3 linked regions of the Elephas maximus indicus genome follow. The protein of the gene in region 1 binds, or shares a complex with, the protein of each later gene. Links are inferred from orthologs where the notes say so. Each region holds a gene or a part of one and is shown in the gene's direction. Other genes may lie near its edges.

Evidence for each region.
Region 2: the proteins of SLC3A2 (region 1) and SLC7A10 are in contact, whole or in part, in a cryo-EM structure (PDB 8WNT), measured with the Homo sapiens proteins. The link is inferred for Elephas maximus indicus from reciprocal best matches to the Homo sapiens genes SLC3A2 and SLC7A10. Residues at the interface, in NP_002385.3 of Homo sapiens: Phe161, Thr162, Gly163, Leu164, Lys166, Leu169, Leu170, Val172, Ala173, Trp178, Arg182, Leu186, Phe189, Trp190, Trp193, Met196, Leu197, Ala200, Ile203, Ile204, Ala207, Pro208, Arg209, Cys210, Arg211, Glu212, Leu213, Arg534; in NP_062823.1 of Homo sapiens: Leu147, Val150, Phe151, Asn153, Cys154, Pro157, Ala160, Val163, Leu164, Met166, Ala167, Met170, Leu171, Trp174, Ser352, Val359, Glu481, Thr484, His485, Trp486, Gln488, Glu489, Leu490, Phe492, Val493, Val494, Tyr495, Gln497.
Region 3: the proteins of SLC3A2 (region 1) and SLC7A8 are in contact, whole or in part, in a cryo-EM structure (PDB 7CMI), measured with the Homo sapiens proteins. The link is inferred for Elephas maximus indicus from reciprocal best matches to the Homo sapiens genes SLC3A2 and SLC7A8. Residues at the interface, in NP_002385.3 of Homo sapiens: Thr162, Gly163, Leu164, Ser165, Lys166, Glu167, Leu170, Ala173, Gly174, Trp178, Arg182, Leu185, Phe189, Trp190, Trp193, Met196, Leu197, Gly199, Ala200, Ile203, Ile204, Ala207, Arg209, Cys210, Arg211, Leu213, Lys532, Arg534, Asp558, Gln559; in NP_036376.2 of Homo sapiens: Leu147, Leu150, Phe151, Pro152, Thr153, Cys154, Phe155, Pro157, Ser159, Gly160, Leu163, Leu164, Ala166, Ile167, Leu170, Leu171, Trp174, Gln294, Ser352, Met356, Val359, Glu481, Thr484, Leu485, Gln488, Lys489, Met490, Cys491, Val492, Val493.

The regions. Positions count from the first base shown.
Region 1 is NC_064825.1:126,011,145-126,018,774, forward strand, and holds the start of SLC3A2 (4F2 cell-surface antigen heavy chain), read left to right. Parts: upstream 1-4,616; 5' UTR 4,617-4,727; coding exon 4,728-5,151; intron 5,152-5,597; coding exon 5,598-5,771; intron 5,772-6,370; coding exon 6,371-6,465; intron 6,466-7,630. UniProt on the Homo sapiens protein: Acts as a chaperone that facilitates biogenesis and trafficking of functional transporters heterodimers to the plasma membrane.
Region 2 is NC_064839.1:15,224,567-15,231,784, reverse strand, and holds the start of SLC7A10 (asc-type amino acid transporter 1), read left to right. Parts: upstream 1-4,182; 5' UTR 4,183-4,327; coding exon 4,328-4,478; intron 4,479-7,218. UniProt on the Homo sapiens protein: Associates with SLC3A2/4F2hc to form a functional heterodimeric complex that translocates small neutral L- and D-amino acids across the plasma membrane. Preferentially mediates exchange transport, but can also operate via facilitated diffusion.
Region 3 is NC_064828.1:34,543,901-34,551,980, reverse strand, and holds the start of SLC7A8 (large neutral amino acids transporter small subunit 2), read left to right. Parts: upstream 1-5,056; 5' UTR 5,057-5,534; exon of another isoform or gene 5,535-5,800; 5' UTR 5,801-5,838; coding exon 5,839-5,989; intron 5,990-8,080. UniProt on the Homo sapiens protein: Associates with SLC3A2 to form a functional heterodimeric complex that translocates small and large neutral amino acids with broad specificity and a stoichiometry of 1:1.

The DNA.
Region 1 (7,630 bases):
GTCTTAGCCCGGAAGCTCAGCTGAAACCTGTCTGCTATGGGTGACCCTACTGGTATCCAAACACTGGTATATAGCTTCCAGCATCACTGCAACACCCAAACCCCCACAGCACGACAAACTGATAGATATGTGGGGGCACGCATTGTTAGTGGGAATGTAAAACCGTGCAGTTGCTATAAAAAAGTTTGATGGTTCCTCAAAAAGTTACAGAATTACCATATGACCCAGCAATTCCACTTCTAGATAGATACACCCAAGAGACTTGAAAGCAGGGACTCAAACAGCATTTGTACACCAGTGTTCATTGCAACATTATTCACAAACAGCCAAAAGGTAGAAACAACCCAAGTGTCCATCAACAGAGTAATAGATAAACAAAACGTAGTATAGCCATACAATAGAGTATTATTCAACCATAAAGACATATGAAGTTCTGATACATGCTACAACATGGATGCACCTTGAAAACACTATACAGAGTGAAATTAGTCAGACACAAAAGACACATATTACATGATCCCACTTACAGGAAATATCTAGAACAGGCAAATGCATAGAGACAGAAGGTTATTAGTAGTAACCAGGGGCTGGGGGATGGGGATTTACTGCTTAAGGAGTACTAAGTTTCTCTTTGGGCTGATGAAAAACCCTTGGGAATGGATAGCAGTGATGGTTTGCATGACATGTTGAATGTAATTAACCCCATTGATTGTACATTTAAAAATAGTTAAAATAGCAAATTTTTTGTTATCTATATTTGACCACAATAACTTTTTTTAAGTAGTAATCTTTTATAGTCCACATTTTTTTGTGTGTGTCTTGTTTAAGAAATCTTTTCTTTGAGGTCTAAAAGACATTCATCTGTATGTATACATATAGATATGCATATAAATATATATTTTTTATTGAACTTTAGATGAAAGTTTACAGAACAAATTAGCTTCTCATTAAACAGTACACATATTGCTTTATGACACTGGTTAACAACTCCACGACATGTCAACACTCTCCCTTCTCAACCTTGGGTTCCCTATCACCAGCTTTTCCATCCCTCCTGCCGCCCTCCCCCTCACATTCCTCACCCTTCACTTAGACAACCCTAGCAGTTCTCTGCTTTAGCGGTCGGTCTTCCTCCTGCGGGATTCTTGGTAACTACATTATTCTAACATGGTTTTCTCAAATGACAGCTGCCAAGTGAGTCCCTTTGGTTGGGGTCCGCCTCCTCTGCTTTCATCTCAGCCGCACTTTGACTTCCAAATGCTGAATTTCAAATGGTTGAAATCCTCAGGGCTTCTTGGCTGTCTGTTATTTTAGAGACAGAGCCTGGATGCTTTGTTTCTGGGTCCCTGGAATCATGCCTTGGGCTCTCTGGCAGAGTTGCAGAGTCTGTTGGACAGAGACAGTGTGACCATTCTTCTCTCTTGTCTCCCTCTCATCTTCACTCTGGATTTGGAGATTTTTTTTATCTGCCAGTAAAAATACCTTGGGGGCGGGTGGAGGTGGGGTGGATGGGTAACTTCCCTATCTTTTGGCTAAGATCAGGTAGTCCTCATCTCCTGGGAAGCACGTGATAGGGATTTTTGCAACAGGGAGTTAGAAAGGAGCTTTCTTTGTACACTTGGCCCTCTGCCTTGCAGGGCCCCATGCTGTCTGCCCGCCTGAGTGGAGAACACTCAGACTCATGACCTCATGTGGTCTTTTTTGACTGCTGAACTGCATTTTTTTTTTTTCCTGCTTTGCCACAGCCTTCTCTTGAAGGCAAAAGTCTTCTTGACAAATTATATACTTTGCATGTCCTATAGTAAATACTCAGTTTTATATTTGTCAGCACACAGTGTCAAATCTGAGGCTATCTAGTCACTGTCTGGCCTCTGTCTCCACTCATTCTCCGCTGCTGTCCTGTTTTTCCCTTCCCCCCAAACTTACAATTTTATTTCGGCTGACCAGTTATAAGCTTTGGTGTGCATAAACACCTTTATCTTGATACAGTGTTGTTTAAATTCCTGTTCATTTTTATTCCTTTAGCTTACCATGCTACTACTGCTGTTTCTAAGAAGGGAAATATTTGGGTTTGATTTATGTAGTTCATCCACTCCTTTACCAGACACTGATAAAGTGCCTATTGTATGCTCCCACTGAGCAGGCAGCTTCATTGACAGCTAGCCCATGGTCCCTGCCACTTGTCTTGAAGTGCAAACAGATACCCAGACAGGAAATGTAATAAACAAACGGGGCATGAGTTGTAGCAGAGATGGCCACACTGGAGGAAAAGTAATTCTGTCGGGGGAGTTGGGAAAGGCTGTAATTTAAGCTAGGTCTGGAAGAAGTAGGAGTTTACGAGGTAGAGTGGCAGAACAGGAAAGGCAAAACAGCAGAGGGAATGGCCTGTACAAAGATGCAGAGGTCTGAGAAAGCCTGATGTGTTCTGAAACTGGTAGATGTTCGAAGGCTGATATAGCTGGAACAGAAGGTGTGCTGTGTGAGAAGCTTTGGGGGGCAGGTAAGTTGTTAGCTTTATTACTAGATGTAGAAGGAATTGGCTTCATCCATCTGGAGCCATGGGGGGCTGTGAGTGAGATGTCATGTTCTTAGGGAGTGTTATGTGGGTCCATCTCAAGGAGAGCTTCTGACCCCACAGTTCTCAGTTTTCAGCAGTGAGTCTTCATGCTGGGGACAAAGTCTGTCCAGAGGCTCTGGTTGGCACTACTATCTGGCATGCCCAGGGTACCTTGGACCTTTTATCATCTTTGAGCACTCGTCAGAACCCCAGTCTCTACCACTTGCCTGCCTTCCCCTAGGAGTTGGTTCTAACTTCCCTGGGGTAGGGGTGGAGTATGGGCTTTGGGAGGTTGAAAGGGGCTGAGCCTCTTCACACCCTTGGCCCTTCTTTGGCACCCCTTTCCATCTACCATTAGGATCTTGGCTTTTGCTTTCTCCCAAATACACAGCCATCCTGGCTTCCAGCCCAGGTAGAGGAAGAAAGAACTTATTTCCTTCAGCTCTTCTCTGAAAATAACTCAGCTGGCACTGCTCAGGAACAAAAAGTTCCTGAGAATGTTGGCACATCACGGTGTTCATGTCTGGTGAGTCCCTACTGTGAACCTGTCTCTCTCCCACTTCCCATCTATCCAAGGACCTTTGTGACATGAATTTGGGAGATCTTCAAGGCCTCTGCAGAGCGTGCCCTCTCCAAGGCCTGGCATAGTGAAGTGACGGGGAGGTAGAGGACCCTGGCATCCTGGGGTGGTGGGTGTTAGGGGCTATTGAGTCAGCTCCGACTTGTGGCAGTTTTACATATAACAGAATGAAATGTTGCCTGGTCCTGCCCCATCCTGATGATTATTGGTATGTTTGAATCCATTACTGGGGCTTTTATGTAATGCCTTCCAACCTAGGGGGCTCTTCCAGCACTATATTGGACAATATTCTGTTGTGATCCATAAGGTTTTCATTGGCTAATTTTCGGAAGTAGATTGGCAGGCCTTTATTCCTAGTCTGTCCTAGTATGGAAGCTGCGCTCTCTGAAACTTGTTCACCATGGTGACCCTGCTGTCTTTGACATACCGGTGGTATAGCTTCCAGCATCATAGCAACGCGCAAACCACCCCAGAGACAGATGGGTGGTGGGCATCCTGGAGGAGTTTGGGATAATTTGTGGGAGGCCTTGCAAAGTGGGGGAAGAGTCATCTAGGAAAATGATGGATGCCTCTAGCTGAGGCCCACCTCTGGAACCTTGGCTACAGTCCCAGTCATCCCAGGTTGTCCATCACTCTTTTCTGGATGTCTGATTCCTAGTTGCCTGATATCCTGGCACCAGAAAGTGGGTGTAGGGTAGGGTAAGAAGTGGGGGTGTCAGTCTCAACTGTCCTGCCCAGACAAATTAATCTTAAAACATCATGGGGAAGACTGGGTTAGAGAATTCAATAAATTTGATGATCAGAGTCCTGTAGTAGGCACTCAGTAAATATTTGTTGCGTTATGAATTAGTTGAACTAAAATTTGAGTCTTGAAGGACGAGAGGGAGTAAGCCCTGCAGAGAAGCTAAGACCTAGTGCCAAGTACCAGAGGCCCAGAGAGGCAGGCTGGTGGGGGAAAAAGGCAGAAGTTGGGTCTGCCTGGCTCAGGGAGCGCTAGTAGCTGTGACAAATCGGAAAGCCCAGGAGGTGGCTTGGGTCTGGGGCAAAAAGGGGATGGTTTGGGGTAAGTCACCAGTCTTAGGAGTGGGCGAGGGCCTTGCTCTGCCGGTGCTGGGTTCCCCCACCCCCACCCTGACTTCCTGGCAGCCGAGGGACCCGCGGGGGTGGGGCGGACAAGTCACAGACTCCGCCTACTTAAAGGTGGCTCCAAGCCCGTGGCTCTTCTCAGCCATCCCAGCATCTCGGTGAAGTTGCCTAAGGGGCAGGTAACAAGTCGGAGATGGAGGATGGAGAATGCCGCATATTCCTCCCTATTTGTATTCGCAGGCGTGTTCCCACCATTGTTCCCCGTGTGGCACTCTCGCTGTCCTCCGGAACGAGGCTTCCCGAGCTTCCTCCTTAAGGGGCGGGCTGGCTCGGCCGGGGCGGAGCTCCCCTGGCTAATTTCCCGAGCGCGTTGCCCTGTTTCAGTCCTTGTAGCGGAAGCGGCTGAGTGCAGTAGTCCGGGGACCTGTCTGGGATCGGAAGGTCGGGGACTTCTCCGGCACTACCGGAGCGCAGGCTGCTTTTGTCCCAGGTTCCGCGGGCACAATGAACCACGACACCGAGGTGGACATGAAGGAGGTGGAGCTGAACGAGGTGGAGACTGAGAAGCAGCCGATGAACGCGGCGTCGGGGGCAGCCGTGGCCGTGGTGATGGCTGGCGGCGCCGAGAAGAACGGTCTGGTGAAGATCAAGGTGGCTGACGACGAGGCGGAGGCGGCCAAGTTCACGGGCCTGTCTAAGGAGGAGCTGCTGAAGGTGGCGGGCAGCCCCGGCTGGGTGCGCACCCGCTGGGCACTGCTGGTGCTTTTTTGGCTTGGCTGGCTGGGCATGTTGGCAGGCGCCGTGGTCATCATCGTGCAGGCACCACGCTGCCGCCAGCTGCCCACGCAGAGGTGGTGGCACAAGGGTGCGCTCTACCGCATCGGTGACCTTCAGGCCTTCCAGCCCGGCGAGGCGGGCAACCTAGCTGGTGAGGACGCGCCCCTCTCCTGTATATACCCCACCCTCCGGCCTCTGGTTTATACCCCACCCTCCGGCCTCTGGTTTAAGCCTCCTTTGGTTTTATCCCTAAACCCCACTTCTGCGTCTGGTGTCATTCCTCCCACCTTTGGTTTCCTCTGGGCAGACTACTCCGGTTCACCCTCCTTTCTACCCTTCTCAGGGTCTTGGAAGACTACCAGTGTCATAATCCCTTTCAGCTTTGAGGAAAAACTGTCGTTCTCCAACCCTCTTTCTCGATTGTGGCTGACTCATCATCCTCCCCTCCCTCTTGGCCCCAGGAGGCAGTCACAGCCGGTTTCAGAAGCAGAGCGCAAGGCTCCTTATTCTTACATCAGCTTCACTGAGTCTCGTGATGCAGTCTAAACCTATTCCGTCTTTGGACAGGATAGAGGAAACAGGTACCTCTTGTTTCAGGCCTGACTGAGCATCTGGATTACCTAAGCACCCTGAAGGTGAAGGGCATTGTGCTGGGCCCAGTTCACAACAACCAGAAGGATGATTTGGCTGGGACCAACTTGCAGGAAATTGACCCTACTTTTGGCTCCAAGGAAGATTTTGAAAGTCTCCTGCATTCGGCCAAAAAAAAGAGTAGGTACCTGGGGTTCACGAGGAAACAGCTAGAAAGCCTGGCCTTCTGGCCAGAGGACAGGCAGGATAAAATTTTTGTCTGATAGTCTCTATGTTCTCAGGGCTGGAACCAGGGAACTGTGTTAGATTGAAAGATGGATTTCTCAAGGGATTCGGGACTTTCTACTTGGCTGGACATTGAGCTGATCATTTAATTTTGGGGTTTCAGTGCCCTTATTTGCAGAATGTAAGGATTTTTTTTTTTTTAACTAGATTAATGGTTCTTAAGTTTGTAAAGTAGTGGAATCTTTTTTAAAAAATCCCAAATGAAATACTGCCTCACAACTCTTTATAGAGAAAAGTGTTTAGAAAGGGTTTATTTGGGAATGGGAACCCCGGGACCCCACAGCTCAGCCTTCTCTAACATCTGCACTACAGGATCTTAAGACCCTTGGTTGGTCACATCTGTGTTTCAAAGGAATGGGTTTTGTCAGGGTTCAAATCCAAGCTTTTATACCTGGTAATGCATAGGAAACATTCAGCAGAATTGTGTGTGTTATTTTTTCCTTTCCCTTCACTCAGAGTCTTTCTCACAACTGCCTCTTCCTCCATTGTTCCAGGCATCCAGGTCATTCTGGACCTCACTCCCAACTATAGGGGCCAGAACTCGTGGTTTCTCCCTACTGAGGTTGGCACTGTGGCCACCAAGATGAAGGTGAGTGTGTTGGGCTTGATGGCAGACGGGAGCCAGATGCTGGGGTCGTCTTGGTCCTTTCTCAGGAAGCCTCGTACACTTAGTCCCAGGTCCTGCTGAGGGGCCCCTTGCCTCTTGGAGCCAAGCAGGATTGCCTCCTCCCTCAGCAGGAAGGATAGGCCAGCAGTCTCCCCATTTTTTCTTGTTCCTTTTCGGACTACTCAGTTTTCTTGTTTCTCTGACTTTGTGGGTGACAGTGCCAGGAAGGGAATATCTCAGATGTGAGTCTGGAAGTTTGACTTTCCTTCCTTTGGGGAAAGGAAGCACTTTCTGTGTGGGAATTCTGCCCTGATTGATTTCTCAGTTCTTGTTTGATGTGTCTTGGGTGGAACTCAGTGTGAAATTGTAAGTACTGGGGCTTCCTGTGTATCTGGGACTGTGCCAAGTATTTTATATACATTTTTCAATCTCCTGTATAACCATGGGCAGTATCCGCCATTATTCTTAATGTGTAAACAAGGAAGCTAAGGTTCAGAGGGGCCTGGTGTGCCCAAGGTCTCTCAGCTAGTAAAGGCTTTGAAGTCCCAAGTAATCTACTTCTCAAGTCTCCCTTACCTTAAGGTGTAGGCTCAAACTCTACTCAACAGGCTGGGAATGGGGCTTTGAACACGGCTCCAGCTCCTGATGCCTGGGTTCTAGGGCACTGACCAGTTCAGAATGGGTAGAACAGACATGGAGGCAGACTCTGACACTTTCTGGCTACTGTGATTTTGACCTTGGATTTCCAGCATTTGGGTAGGACCCTTGGGGTTATCTAGTTTAGCCCTAGCCAATGGTTCGAAGATCCTTTACAAGTTACTGATAAGGGAATGTTTTCAGATGGCATGTTGTGTGGGGTGGTAGCCTCAGATGAAGATGGAGGAGACGGTACATGGAGCAGTGAGAGAAAGGGAAGAAAAGGTACAGTGGAGGTGGGGTTCCATGGTGTGTGCCAGAGAGATGCCAGGTCTTCAGGCCTGGGCCTGTTCTGCAGAGCTGGCTTCCTCTTTTCAAACCTTCGTCTGAACTGCCTTAGGGCTGTGTTTCTAATTTCAATCTTTCATCCTTGGCCTGTTGGGTCAGGTTCTTTTACTCACACTCTCCCCAGGAAAATATAGTTGGAAAATATAGTTGTCTTGTCGTCCTG
Region 2 (7,218 bases), on another chromosome or scaffold:
TAAAAGGTATACATATTGGAAAAGAAGAAGTACCATATGACCCAGCAATTCCACTCCTAGGTGTATACCCAAAGGGCTTGAAGGCAGAGACTGGAACAGAGACTTGTACACCACTGTTCACGGCAGTACTATTTACAATAGCCCAAAGGTGGAAACGGCCTAAATGCCTATCGACAGATGGATGGATAAACAAAATATGGTACATAACATACAGTGGAATACTACTCAGCTAGCAGTAGAAATGAAATCTTGATATAGGCTACAATACGGATGGAGCTGGAAGACATTATACTCAGTGAAATAAGTCAACCACAAAAGGACAAATATTATATGACCTCACTTACATAAAAAGGCAAGAACAGGCAAATGCATAGAGAACAAAGTTTATCAGGGTCTACCCAGGGTGGGAGGGAGGGGGAAAGGGGGGCTAACAGTGAGGGAAATGTCTGCATTGATTAAGGGCAGGGTTGCACAGCAGATTATTGTAATTGTTGTTCAAAAGGTGTACACTTGTAAGAAGCTGAATTGGCAAAAGTTGCTAGGTAGACGTATTTACAACAATGACAAATAAAAAATAAAAAAGAGTAGCTGCTGAGGCTGCTTCGGTTCTTTGGTTTGGAGGTTTAGGGTCATGGTTTCCTGGGACATCCCAGTTAACTGGCCTCATGATGTGTTTGGTGCTTCTGTTCTACCTCCTAGTTCGTTGCTTAGTGCCTGCGGTCTTTAAAGCTTAAGCTTGCAAGCAGCCCTCCAAGGCACAACAATTGGTCTCTATTCACTTTTTGTAACAAAGGAGGAAGAGTAGGGATAGGAAGAGGATTCGGAATGTGTGGCTAATTGCCTTCATGAACAACTGCGTCCTTTGCCTTGAGACCAGAACTGGATGGTGCCTGGCTACCATTACTGTAGAAGGATCATGATCAAAGGGGGGAAATGCAGAATAGAATTTCAAATTTTTATGGACTCTTGACCTCCTGGAGCTCTGACAGTTGAATAAGCCCCTGAAACTATTCCCCTGAGATAATCTTTAAAACTTAAAACAAAAATATGCCCTGAAGTCTTCTTAAAACCAAACAATAGTTTAACTTTACTAGTTAAAAATGTCTGCCTTGAACATTATGCTCTTTTAAGGACTATTTATACCGGATCAAATTGACAATACCAATTCAAAGGATGAGATGGGAACCTGAGGGGGCAGTGAATTGATGTTAATGGTTCGAGAACATAATCAGCATCACTAAGCGGTAAATGTAGAAATGGTTGAATTGGTATATGTTTGCTGTGTATGGAGCCCTGGTGGTGCAGCAATTAAGCTTTCAGCTGGTAACTAAAGGTCCACAGTTCGAATCCACTAGCCACTTTTGGAAACCCTATGGGGCAGCTCTACTCTGTCCTATAAGGTCGCTATGAGTTGGAATCGACTGTATGGCAACGGGTTTGGTTTTTTTGGTTGCTGTATACATTCTCAACAACAGAAATTTTTAAAATTTATATCTTTTAAAATATTTTCAAGAACATTTTGTAGTTATCAATGTATAAATTGTGACTATTATTCTTACCAACCCAACCCAGTGCCGTCGACTGATATTGAAATATTCTTAGGTATTTGATTTTTATACTATACATTTTTTAGTTGTTCCCGGTATATAGAAATACGATTAGTTTTTTTGGAATTGATTTTGTATCCATTGATTTTTCTAAATTCACTAATCAACTTTAAGTTTACTTGTAGAAGTTTCGGGGATTTTCTACACACCCAATCACATCATGTCAGTTTTATTTCTTCCTTTCCTGTCTTCACATCTTTTTATTTCTTTTTCTTCCCTTATTGCACTGGCTAAGACTCCCAGCCCAGTGTTCAATAGACATAATGAGCTCTGGTAACCTTTCTCATTCCCAACGTCAGTGGCAAAGAAGTTCAATACTGCACCATGAAGCATGATGTTAGCTCTAGCTTTTTTGTTTTTTCCTTTGTTTGTTTGGAGGATTTTTTTTTTTGCTTTGTTGTTTTTTGTTTTGGGGGAGTCTCAAAAAGTTCCCTTCTATTTTATTTTGCTAAGAGGTTTTTCTTGTTTAAATCATGAATGAGTGTTTTCTGCATCTAATGGAAAGGTCCTAGGACTTTTTCTTTCTCTGTTAAAGTGGGGAATACACTGATTTTTGGATGGTAAACCAACCTTACCAGCCTTTTTTTTTTTCCCACGGGAGTTCGCCAGTGCAATTCCACTAAAATGACTGGACAAGAGGACATAAAGTCTATCGGGTGCGCACCCCTGGAGTCGCCCCTTCCCCCCATACTCACACTCCACATTTCAGGTCTCACAAGAGACTCACCCCCTCAAAAAAAAAAAAAAAAAAAAACCCACAGGCTTCTTGCCGGTGAGGCCAGCGCCAGTCCCGTCTCTTGACAACCAGCTGGACCCTTATCCCGCAGACCGCAGCGTTGCGAGGGCAACTAGATAGGGAAAGTCAAGACCCCGGCAACCCACCACCCGCAAAAACCAGGACTCTCCAGGGCCCGTACGCCCGGCCTCCCACACCCATCCTGCGCCAGGCTCCTTTAAGAAAACCGGCGCGGAGCGCGTCTCTGGAGCTGGAGGCGGAGGGCGCCAAGAATGCCGGACTCCGACGGGAGCGCAGGGGCATGAGGCTTCTCCGGGTGGCCTCCCCCTCTGTGTCCCCCCAACATGTCCACCCACAGTCGTCCGGCTCCTGCTCCCAGCCCGCCACCCCCAACCTCGAAGGCCCCTCCTCGCCGGCAAAGCCCCTGGGTCCAGCCGCGCTCCAGCCTCGATGCTCCACCCCAGCCCGGATCCAACCCCGGCCCCCTCCCACCCTGGCCCGCCCCGCGGCCGTCGGACCCCGGCCCGGCCCCCCGCATGCCCCGCGGCCGCGGGCGGGGGAAGGACGGGGCGCCCGGCGCGACCTCATCCACATGCAGGGGACGGCGCGGCGCGGCGGCCGCCAGGAAAGGACAAAGGCTGTTCCGCCGCCGGCCTGCACCATGCCAGGCTCGCCCCGCCCGCCGCCCCGGTGGCCCTGTCGCGGCCCCCTTGCGTCTGTCTTGCCGGCCGGGGCTACATAATCCGAACAGCTAACGGGCGGAGGCTGCCCCCCTGGGGCCCACACTACAGAGCCCCTCCCGCGACCCCGGGGGCCACAGCTCCTCCCTCTGTGTCCCCTTGGCAGTAGAGGTGGCCTGGCCTCCTTGAACCCCCTAGCTGGTGCCGTGCTGGACTACCCGCGGCCTGCGTCAAGGACCAGAGTTCTAGTTCGCTGAACCGGCCTCTGACCTGTGAGCAGCCGCCTGCAATCAGGACTTCCTGCCAGAAGCCAATGGGTGGAGACGGGCAGAGCGCTCTCCAGGACTCCCACAAAGGCCTGGACTCCCCTCTGGATGAGGGTTAGGGCTCCGGGTCTTTACCCCGACTCCATTTCCCCATACATTTGATCCCAGGTGCATAGAGTCTCCTGTCGCCTCGTAGAGGCCCCGGGGCACAGCTCCCACCCCTCCCACAGCCGGACCTCACCGGGCCATCACCGCCTGGACGCCGAGGAGGCCCAACCACTTGCTCTGTGAACTCTGTTACTTAGCTTTGGGCCTCAGCTTCCACCTGTAGAAAGTGCACAGCATTCATTCTACACATCGACACTCTCCAGGGTCTGTGCCAGGATTTAAGGAGTATGGAAGTGGAGGAGCCCAGGTGGCGCAGTGGTAAAGAGCTTGGCTGCTAACCAAAAAAAGGGCAGTTCAATTTCACCAGCTGCTCCTTGGGAACCCAATGGGGCACTTCTACTCTGCCCTATAGGGTCGCTATGAGTTGGAACTGACCTGACGACAATGGGTTTGGCTTATTTATTTACTTATTTTTTTGAAGTGCAGGCACACAGCGGATTCTCAGGCCACGGACAGTTGTTACTCTTGCCAGCTTCCTCAGCCTCCTTGAGAGCAGGGGCAGTCTTGCCCCGCGAATTAATAGAACTGCGCAATGGGGCCCCTTCCTCCGCTCAACTAAATTAAGAAGTTTTCCTAAATCTGCCCCCAGTCCCCTCCTTCCTTTCCTGGCCAGGACTGGGTGGTGGGGAGCAAAGGGGGTTCCCTTTAAGGGAGGTGGGGGAAGGGGCTGCCGGCCAGCCCTCCTTCCGCCCCTGCCTGGCCCGGGCGGCCCAGGGCCCGGGTCCCGGGCCCCGGGCCAGCGCATGCGCCCGCCTTTGGGCGCTGTCCGGGCTCGAGGGCAGCGCGCGCACAGACAGACGACCGAACGGACTGGCTGCCGGCCGGACAGACTGGGGAGCGCTGGGAGCGGGGACGCGGCGGGACAGCGACATGGCGGGGCACACGCAGCAGCCGAGCGGGCGCGGGAACTCCATCCCCGCGCCCTCGCCCTCCCCCAGCCCAGGCCCCGGCCTCGGCGCCTCGGAACGGGTGGCGCTCAAGAAGGAGATCGGGCTGGTGAGCGCCTGCACCATCATCATCGGTGAGCGGGGCCCGAGGCGGGCGGGTGCCCAGGACAGCGGGGCCGAAGGCTGGGGGCTGTACAGCGGCTCGGAACGCGGGCACCTCCTCTCCGGGCGCTCCTACCGGGTCTGCGACGGTGAGACCACCGGCGGGTGGACACGGGACCACCTGCAGTGTCTCCCCGCAACGTGCGATCTGACAGTCAAGGCAAAGGCTGACAGAGCGCCCACACAGCTTCCTGTTCCCACTTCCCCAGGCGCCCCGAATTTTTTTTTTTTTTTAACCTGAGAAAGATTCAGGTCTTGTTCACCGCTGGAATCTTCGCCATGCCTTTACTTGGTTGTGGGACTTTGGCAAGTCAAGTACCCTCAGTTTTTTCATCTGTGAAATGGAAATAATGACTACAGCCCTTCCTTGAGAGCCAGAGCCTTTCTAGTGTGGGGCTGGGCAGGCAGGCCCCCTGAGATCCTAAGTTCTGGGCCATGACACCCGCTGAACCCCTGCTGTGTGCAGGTGCATTGTGGCACAGGTGATTTATTCTTCTAAAGCCAGCCCACAGGGGAGAGGAGCTCAGAGCAGGTAATCACTGCAGAGTTTGGCAGGAGGATGCAAGGGAAGCAGCCAGTGGCTGGGGGAGACCAGAGATGGAGTGGACAGCCCAAGCCTGCCTGAAGACCAGCACTCCCTGGGTGGGGGTCCTGACATTTGCAGCCTCCAGCCCTCTGGTCCAGCTTCCACCTGTGAGTGGATGGGTTTGTCCAGCCCCCAGTTCGGTGAGCAGAGGGCTCAGGAGGAGAGAATGGTGATTGGGTTTTTCTCCTTCTGCCCCAAGTCACAAACTCTGGCTCCTTGGGAACTGGGCCTGGGTCCCCATCAGGTGCCTCTGTGTCCCCTCCTGGGGGGACCTGTTCTGTCACCTGTGTCCCAGGAGATGGATGCCTGGGGCTTTGACCGTTCTCAGCCTACTGCCTGTCCAGCCTCCCCCTTCCCCAGCCAGTGGCAGTTGCTTGTGCATCGAGCATCCCGAATGGCCACCCACTCTCAGACCCCTGAAAATGGAGAAAGCGTGGTGGCTCAGGAGGCCAGGCCCAGAGTCTCCACTTCCTCCTCCTCTGCCCCCACACTGGGAGCTCCCAGGCCAGGGTTGGGGCTGACTCTTGGCTGCCCTCACACTTTCATTGAGCATTTCCCCTGGACTCAGCCCCTAGGCAGGTAGCTCTGCTGTCTCACGCACTTGCCCCTAGAGTGGTATGTCCCAGGAGCTGACCCTGCATGTCCCTGCCTGGCTGTCTGCTGGGAAGAAGGGCTAGCCTCCCCCACTTGGCTGGGGGACTGGTTCGAGCTTTTCCCTGCCTCCCACTCTCCCTAGGAGCTGCCCTCCTCCCAGGAAGAGGAAACATGCTTGTCATAGACCGGCAATGGTGCCAAGAGGATGGCCATGTCTGGGGCCAAGTTCAGGGCCTGGCAGATGCAGGAAGAGACACAGCTCTTCCTGGGCTGCCTCTCTTAAGCCCAGCATCTTAAGCTGTATTCCTACCCTGCCCCTCACAACCCACCCTCCTCAGGTCAGGCAGAGGCAGCCAGGCCTCTCTCTCTCCCTGAAAGATGGCCGTGTTGGTGGAGGGGGAAAGAGGCCTAGCTTAAACACCACACCCCTTCTCTGGGGCAGACCCTGTAGAAATTTTCCCCTGGTCTACCCTTACAGCTCTGCCACCCTTCAGTCCATTCTTGTTGTTCCAGGTTCTCCTCCCACCCTGTTACCCCCAGACCTTGAAGGCTGATCTGGGGAGACCAAGGCACGGGATGAGGGGTGACTTGGCCAAGGGCACTGGATGCAGGACCAGAACCCCTAGCCGAGGGCACTCAGTGGGGGTCCCATGACCCTGGTTTGGGAAGCGTGGAGGGTTACAACAGGGCAGGAGGCTGGACTGGGCAGGAGACAGGCAAGGGGAGAAGTAACCTGAACTAGAAAGTGACAGGGAGATGAGGGTGAGGCAGTTGTAGATAAATCAGGATCTGCATTGTCCTCGCCACCTGATTTTTGAGAACCATGAGTCCTGCTCTATAACCTGTCCTTGTTTGTCACCACTTACTGAACTTATCTCTAAAGTGTCCCAACAGAGCCCCCAGGCGATCCTGTTCTTCCTTCACGCTCTACCCCCCCACCCCATCCCAGGCTGAGGAGCGGGGCTTCAGGACTGGGGAGCTGAGGCAGGGCTATGAGCAAGGGCAAGGTTCCACCTGAACCATGTTCAGGACAGCACCTGCTGGCCGCTGCAAGGAGGCGCTAGAAGGGACAGGCCAGAGAGAGCAGGGCAAGCTGAGGCAGGAGCCGAGAAGGACAACATTGTCACATCCAGTATTTGTTCATACACCTCTTAGTCCGTTACGGTATGAAAACACATGTTCCCCCTTTGCAAGATGAGAATTTTTATACCCATTTTACAGATGTGGAGACTGAGGGTTGGAAGTTAAGAGACACTGCTGTAAGTGTTGGACCTTGAATTTGGAGCCAGATTTGGACCCAGGTCTGAGTAACCCCAGTCCAATGCCCTTCTTCATACTGACCCGGTGCTGGACAAAATTGAGGCCAGATTCAGTGCGGGGGAAGGCTGGGGATTAAGCTAGGTTTCCCGAGCTCACCTGACCAGGGTTTACTGCGCTCCCAACTCCACTGTGGACAAACAGGTGGACAGAGAAGTGCCTCCGGGGGCTGTACACACAGGGTCTCTCTTTCTGACTCAGGGATTTCGGCCAGC
Region 3 (8,080 bases), on another chromosome or scaffold:
GTTCTACTCTGTCATGTGAGTTGGAATTAAAAGCACCAAACAACAACAGTGCTGGGTTGGCTTCATGGGAACAGGCCAAGTGCAGCAGACAGAAGAGTAATATGCTGGAATTTTTGTCTCAAGTGTCAGAGTAAGGATTCATCATTATCTCCAGAAGAGCATGAATTAATTGACCATCATAACAAACTGGAACCTGCTTATAGTAGTTTCACCCAAATTCTCAGGAGTGCATAAATCCCAGAAAATACAACTTCCCTCGAACTTATGAATATGTCCAAAAGGCAAACAGCATACTAACTGATTGATTTGTCTTTTTTATTTCCTTCCTTTTCTTTCACTAATTTTCATCTGCTTTCAGTTTTTAAATGAAATAAAGGCTCCTAGAGCCAATGGCTTTGGAAGCTACTGCCTATTTGACCATAGGCGAGGGCCACTGGTAAGCTGGATTTAATCTAAATCAGATTTCCCTCTGGCTCCAGGAATGTAAGTATAAGAAGAATGGAGTGGGAGCGTGGACTGTGAGTTTCCTCCAGGCAGAGATTTGAGTCCTCTCTAAGTGACCTCAAACTGCACAGCTCTGTTCCAAAGAACAAAAATAAAGTGCTTGTCTATTGAACTCAGAAAAAAAATTAAGAATGGAGTGAATGAACTTTGTGCTCTATTCCTTTGTGTTCAGATGCTTCTTACCTGTTACCTTAGTCGTTTAGTGCTGCTATAACAGAAATATCGCAAGTAGATGGCTATAACAAAGAGAAATTTATTCTCTCACAGTTTAGGAGGCTGGAAGTCCAAATTCAGGATGCCAGCTCCAGGGGAGGTCTTTCTCTGTGGGCTCCGAGGTAAGGTGCTTGTCATTGATCATCCCCTGCTCTAGGAGCTTCTCAGTGCAGGGACCCCGGCTCCAAAGGACACGCGCTCCTGGCTCTACTGTCTTGGTCATAGGGTCCCCATGTCTCTCTGCTTGCTTCTCCTTTATATCTCAAAGGAGACTGATTTAAGAAACAACCTAATCTTGTAGATTGAGTCCTGCCTCACTAACATCATAGAGGTAGGATTTACAGCACATAGGAAAATCACGTCAGATGACAAAATGGTGGACAATCACACAATACTGGGAATCATGGTCTAGCCGAGTTGACAAATATTTTTTGGGGGACACAATTCAACCCATGACACCTGTTGTTTCAAAAATATTGGAACATGGTGGTATTTTTATTATTTAACTCATACAAGTAGCATGTGTCCATGCCATGTCCCTCTTTGTGCAGTAGGTGTCAGCCATACACAGCCTTTCTCTTCCCAAATCCGTATTTAGAAGAAACCAACCCTTTCACCCACCCGCTCCTAGGTTAAAGGAATCAATTTCTTCTATCTTAAGCATGCAAAACAACTGTAAATAGTCACCTAGGTATTGGAAACAGAGTTGTACTAAAGTACTATTCTACTTGGAAAATGGACAAACTGAAGACTGTGTGAAAGGGATAACACATGGTGGTGGTGGGAGACCCAGATTAAGTCACTGAACAGATATTAAATGCTGCCATCAAGATGGGTCTCTAAAAGTCACAGTTATATGCCAGTTCAAGAAGATGAGGCCATGTTCCTGATTAAAAGTCTTCTGTTTCCCCCAGGTGAAAGAAGCTGAAGCATTAACAAGTAGCTCTAAAAATGAAGCATCATTTTGCCTGGGAAAAGTGCCATTGATATCCCTCTTGGTAGTGAGTAGATTAAATGTATTGTCTTTGACCTAAGGTAAACACTTCTCTAAGCCTCAGCTTCCTAATTTTTAAAATGGGAAAAATAACTGCCTTGTGTACTCAAAGTTTTTTTTTATTGTAATTTAAATGAAGGTTTACAGAACAAACTAGCTTCTCATTTAACAGTCAGTACACGTATTGTTTTGTGACATTGGTTACCAACCCCACGACATGTCAGCACTCTTCCTTCTCGACCTTGGGTTCCCTATTACCAGCTTTTCTGTTCCCTCCTGTCTTCTAGCCCTTGGCCCTGGGTTGGTATGCTCCTTTAGTCTCATTTCCTTTTATGGGCCTGTCTAAACTTTGGTTGGAAACCCTGGTGGCATAGTGATTAACGTCACTATGTCAGCAGTTCAAATCCACCAGGTGCTCCTTGGAAACTGTATGGAGCAGTTCTACTTTGTTCTATAGGGTCGCTTTGAGTCGGAATTGACTTAACAACAACGGGTTTGGTTTTTTTTTTTTTAATCTTTGGCTGAAGAGTGAACCTAAGGAGTGACTTTATTACTGAGCTAAAAAGGATGTCTGGGGGCCATACTCTTAGGGCTTTTCCAGTCTCTGTCAGGCCAGTAAGTCTAGTTTTTCAAAGTTTTTAATGAGGAGGAAAAAAAGACATATTGTGCATAAAACAGTTTGTAGACTGTAAAGTACTATTTAAATGTAGAGAATGGATTAAAAATATAAATGCAAAGGTAGAGTTAAGAATAAAGAAGAATTCAGTGCTCAAATTTTAACAAACTTTCATTAATCATTTCTACAAATTTTTTTGCAGCACATTACACCAAGACCCTTCTTTCTCTCCTGTGTTCAATGCTAATCACATGGGATTTTGACACACCTAGAGTTTATTTTCAAAAAAAATCTCAACCTCAAGAAAGCCACAGAATATGAATACATGGTCCATTTGAAGGAGGAAAGATTACTTTCCTAGCTTTATATTGCACCATTAATAGTCATAAACTACTTGTAAATGCTAAGTGTTAAAATAATAGAAACATTAATCTTCAACAACCATTCCTTTCCAGTTTGGTACACTTTTACCATTGTGGAGCCCTGGTTGTGCAGTGATTGAGAACTTGGCTGCTAACCAAGATGTCGCCAGTTCAAGGATCCAGGAAACCTTATGAGGCAGTTGCTATGAGCCAGAATCAACTAGGTGGCAACGGGAGTACCATTGTATCCCAAGAATGTATTTGATCCTATAACTCCTCCTTAGCTTCTTAATTCATAAACTGAGATTGCTAAACTTACCATATCGTGATGGGTTTACACGGATTTTGGCAAGGGACCTTGACTTCATCATATTCACGTTTTATAGCCTGTATTAAATCTAAATCATTTAAATATGAAATACAAAACATTACTGAAAAAATGCACATTTGAAAAGCAGGAAGATTATTTGCCTTATACCTTGATGGTGAAATCTGAGCAGAAGTCTTCAAATTGGATTGTTTAAAAATGAATCCACCAAATTTTCCCTCAAAATCTTTTCATTTCCTATGACTCATCCTCTCCTGTAGAGTTTTGTGCTATATTCCCTGGCTGCCTTTCTTTTTGTTGAAAATCCTCTTTATACCACCCCACCCCCTGCTTCTTTTTTTTTTTTTTTGCTGAGGCTTTCAATTTGTTATATCTTGAACTGACAGAAGAAGGGGTGGGACTCCCAACCTTTGAAACCTCTAATACTTGCTGAGTGATCAAGAAGCAGAGTGAAATACTGACTAGACTTTACCCCATTTGGAAAAGTCTTGACTTCAATAGTTCAACCAGCCCCATTTTAAGAAATTAAGTTTCTTATTTTTCTTAAAATCCAAAATGTTTTGGAACATTTTCCAAAAGGCAAAGCCAAATTTCTATAGTTAGTGGTCAGCTTGAGAAACAGTATTTTTAGACCTACTTTAAAATCAAATCGCTTTGCATAATATATTTAATTGTTGTTGTTAGTTGCCATCAAGGGGATTCTAACTCATGGTGACGCCATGTGTGCAGAGTAGAACTACTCCATAGGGTTTTCAAGGCAGTAACCTTTCAGAAGCAGGCCTGTCTTCCAAGGCACCTCTCAATGGGTTGGAATCGCCAATCTTTCAGTTAACAGTCAAGCTCTTAACCATTTAAGCCACCTTTTTATATTAGATGTTTAGTCCTGTCTGTTATACTGCTTCATGCTGTAGTATCAAAGTACTTTACTACTATAGATAGACATCATTGCTCTCACTGTAAGGCAGCAGTTTCTGGATGAAATTCTTCAGGGAAGCCAAAGCACAATAGCAATGTGGTTGGTTGTTGTTGTGTGCTACCCATTGATTCCGACTCATAGCAACCCTGTATGGTAATGTTAGTCATTTCTGACACCAACAAGTCAATTCTTACACTAACTCGGCAAGCTGTTGATAATCCCTGCCCCCCCATCTGCTTTTTAAGTCATACTCATACTCCTGACTTAAAAAGCAGATGGGGATTATCAACATCTCACTAAATTGATTTAAGAATTGACCTGGTGACACGTTGGTGTCAGAAATGACTAACATTACCATACGGGGTTGCTGCAAGTTGGAATCAACTTGACGGTAATGCGTTTTATATTTTTGGCTTTTTAAGTAATTTATAGATGCAAAAATATATTAGGAATCGTGAAAGGCCCCCATCCAACCAGATTTTGTGTCATTCTTTCCCGAAACAGGGTGGGTAGGAGTCCTGTCTCAGCCACCTTTAAATAAGAGCTGTGAACAGTGAGACTATCTCCTCTTTCTGGTGATTTTGTTTCCTCTACAATCGTCATAGCTCAGAAGCACACTAAATGACCCTCTTTGCCATTATTATAACCAGTATTATTTCTATACCCCTCCCTCACAAGTGGATTCCCCTCCCCCATGTTCAGAAACTTGAAGCCTATAACCTTCTCTTCTGTAGCCTCAAATGACCCAGAGTTAAAAATTTTAAAATACATCAGCTAGTTTATTTCTGTTGGTGTTCACAGTGTCTGCACAACTGTTCCTTGTTTATATAGCTCACAAATGCTGTATGACCTGTCACGCTATACTAGTTAATGAACTCTCCCAGAACCGTTGACATGGAAGGATTTTACTTCCACTTCGTTTCAAGGAGACGGATGTAGAAAGAGAGCCGATTACAGAAAGAAAGAATTGAAAATCTTTTCTCAGAGATCCGTGGGGCCGTGTGGTAATATTTAAATTGAAGGGGAGGGAGGAGACAGGACTGAGGATGGAGAGGAACCGGGGCGGTGGGGGCGGAGTCTAGTTTAGCAAATAAAAGCCCTCGATCAAAGGGAGGCACTTTCGTGTGTGGAGGAGGCACTCTCCTGTAATCCAGAGAGAGATGGGGCAGCCTGTGCCCTAAGGACGGCGATCCGAAGAAGGAAAACAAGGACGAGAAGACGGGCGAGAAATAAAAGGACACCAGGAAAGAGCGGAAGGCAGAAAGGGAAGGGAAAAGAAACCCACATCAGGTGGAAACAAGATCTAGAACAAACCGGTCGGGTCCACAGTTTGATTTTCTGAGAGAGAAGAAAGTACCTGAGGATTGCCTTTTTTTTTTTTTCCCCCTTCAGCTAATAGAAAACTACTTTTATCCTCATTATAAAAGAAAAAGCTAAGGGGAGGTAAAGACAATCTCTGTCTTATTAGGAGGAGAGCTGAAGGGGAGTCAGGCTGCCTTCTCGATAGTCTGAAATAAGCCACTGCTGGGTACACAGAGCAGAACCATCCTGATTTCTGAAGATTTGCATCCCTTTCGGCAGAATTCCAGAGAGAGTAGCTGGTACAGTTCTATTTTTATATTTAAATATATACGTCTCTTATTTTCCTTTTTAATCACACTTTCCTTGTTTGTAAGCACCGGTGACAAGAAAGTGCCCATACAGAGTAGTATTTTCAATTTCCCTTTTTTTTTTTTTTAAATTTAAATCTGCTTGTATCTTCTTTAGAGGGTAGAAGTGGTCCTTATTGCAGAAAAGGGCATTTTAATTTGAAGGCTTCCTCTAAATATATTTACACTCACACACACGCACACACATGCTCTTTTAGAAAGATACCTTTTGGAGGTTGAAATCCTACTGAGAAAGATGGAAAAAGGAGCCAGGCAACGAAACAACACTGAAAAGAACCACCCAGGTGGGACTGACTCAGATGCCAGCTCCAAGACTGGTTCCGGAGGGGATGGAGTAGCCCTGAAGAAAGAGATCGGATTGGTCAGTGCTTGTGGTATCATTGTAGGTGAGTCCAATTCCTTTTCCCACTGACCATTCCTCCCCTTCTCTGGTGCTCCTCTTGGGGGAACCTTAACACCTCTAAAGCACTATTTTTGCTTCCTACCCATTTAGAAAAGGATTGTCAGTCACGTTTGCTCTAACCTACCTGCGCTGGTCAAGGTCGAGAGGCATAGGAGTGGGCAAGTGATATATGTTATATATCAATTCCTCCAAGCCAACCTGAACAGTTCTGTCCAGTGTTCATAGGATGGAGCTGATAGGGTTCACAAGTTTGGCTGATGGTCAGCCTTGCCTGGGAGCTTGTTAAAAAATAGGGCTCTGGGTTCCACATTTAGAGGCTCTGATTCAGCAGGCGTGAGATGGGGGTGGTGGACTGAAATTTTTCACAAGCTCTCCTGCAGCCATCTCCTCAGCAGCCTGTGGGCTGGTTTTTGAGACGTATTTAATAGATGTTTTGTTGTTTCATGTTATGTGAAACCATATTCCTAGAGGGTGTGTAATAATAAAAACAGCGACAACAGCAGTAATGATATTTTGCACTCCTATAGCTTTTTCCATCTTATACAGCACTTTAACCTTGTGAAGTAGATGTGACAGAGCTGTTTTTCTCATTTCATGTGTGAGGAAATCATGGAAGAACAGAGGAGACAGATTGTGCCTTTTTGTAGATGGATAGTTTATAGTCTCTCTGGTTGCCTGATAGAGTGAACCTGTCTCTTACTGCTCACAGAAACCCCGATGAGGTTCTCCAGAGGCACTGAGGGTAACTAGAAGGTGGAGTCAGAGGGGAACTAATAGGTAAAATGTGTGTTCTGACTGGGAGGTTCTGAAGCTGCAGCTCCTGAGTGTCCCTGAGACTGCCAGTACAGGCAGCCCTGAGCCCCCATACACTCTGCAGGACCTGTAAACCCATTGTCCTTGAGTCGATTCCGACTCATGGCAACCCCATGTGTTACAGAGTAGAACAGCTCCATAGAGTTTTCTTGGCTGTAATCTTTATGGAAGCAGTTCCCCAGGCCTTTCTTCCACAGAGCTGCTGGATGGGTTCAAGCTGCCAACCTTTAGGTGAGCAGCTGGTCGCAAAGCACTTGCACCACCCAGGCTCCTCTCTATAGGACAGAGGGGTTCCTAATACGGCCGCACCTCTAGACAGCACATCCTCCTCTTTCCAGAGAGGCCCTCGAGATGGGTAGTTGGTAGTAGCTCACTACAGCCCTCACTTCGGCAGAAGTGGCTAGCAGGGCAAGTTTTTTCTATATTGTGGTAGAGAGCTTTTTTTCCTTCTTCCCAGAGAAAGGGGCATGGGACTGTCAGGCTTGGATATGTTTCTGTGTTATCTCTCCAGAATTCCTATGTGAAGGCTGATTGTGTCCTGGTTCCCATGGGTCCATTTCTCTGGGTGACACCATGTTTCAGGCAGTAGCACAGAGACTATTGGGCACCAGTGCAATAGTGACACTGGAGAACACCCTTGAAATCAAATAAAACCAGTCAAGGTATTTAGATAATCCTCTTCACCTCTGCACCCAGACTAACAATGATCATGTTATCTCCACTCTGTTTTCAAGATGGAATCTCATTTTATCTAATTCTCTGGCTCTGGGAGGCTTTTTAGGCATCTACAGTTATAAAAAAGGTAATATTATTTAAAAAATTTAGAGTCATGGTCTGAATCTCTCATTACTTCCCTTGTTTTCCCATCTCCTTTATCACTTTTGCTCTAAAAAATGAGATCAGCAAAGTACTCAATATGTACAGCACATGCCAATTGGAAGTCTATAAATAACCCGGAAGCTGTTACCCCTTTCACCAGTTTGACTGATAGGATTAAATGTTTACCTCCCTTTGGGAAGGCTGTGATTCATACACAGATATACACGCCCACAGGCACACAAACACACTCAAACCTCCTTCCTCCTATCTCAGCCTTGCTCACCCATCCCAGCATATGTGCAGGTATTCAAGGTTAGAGGGCATTTTCCTATGTACTGAGGTTGTTTTTATCTCTTCCATTAACAATTTTCAAAGACTGTGAAGAAATGGGGGTGTTTGGTATGATAAATATGATTTCAGTTAGGTGAATGTTACTTCTGAT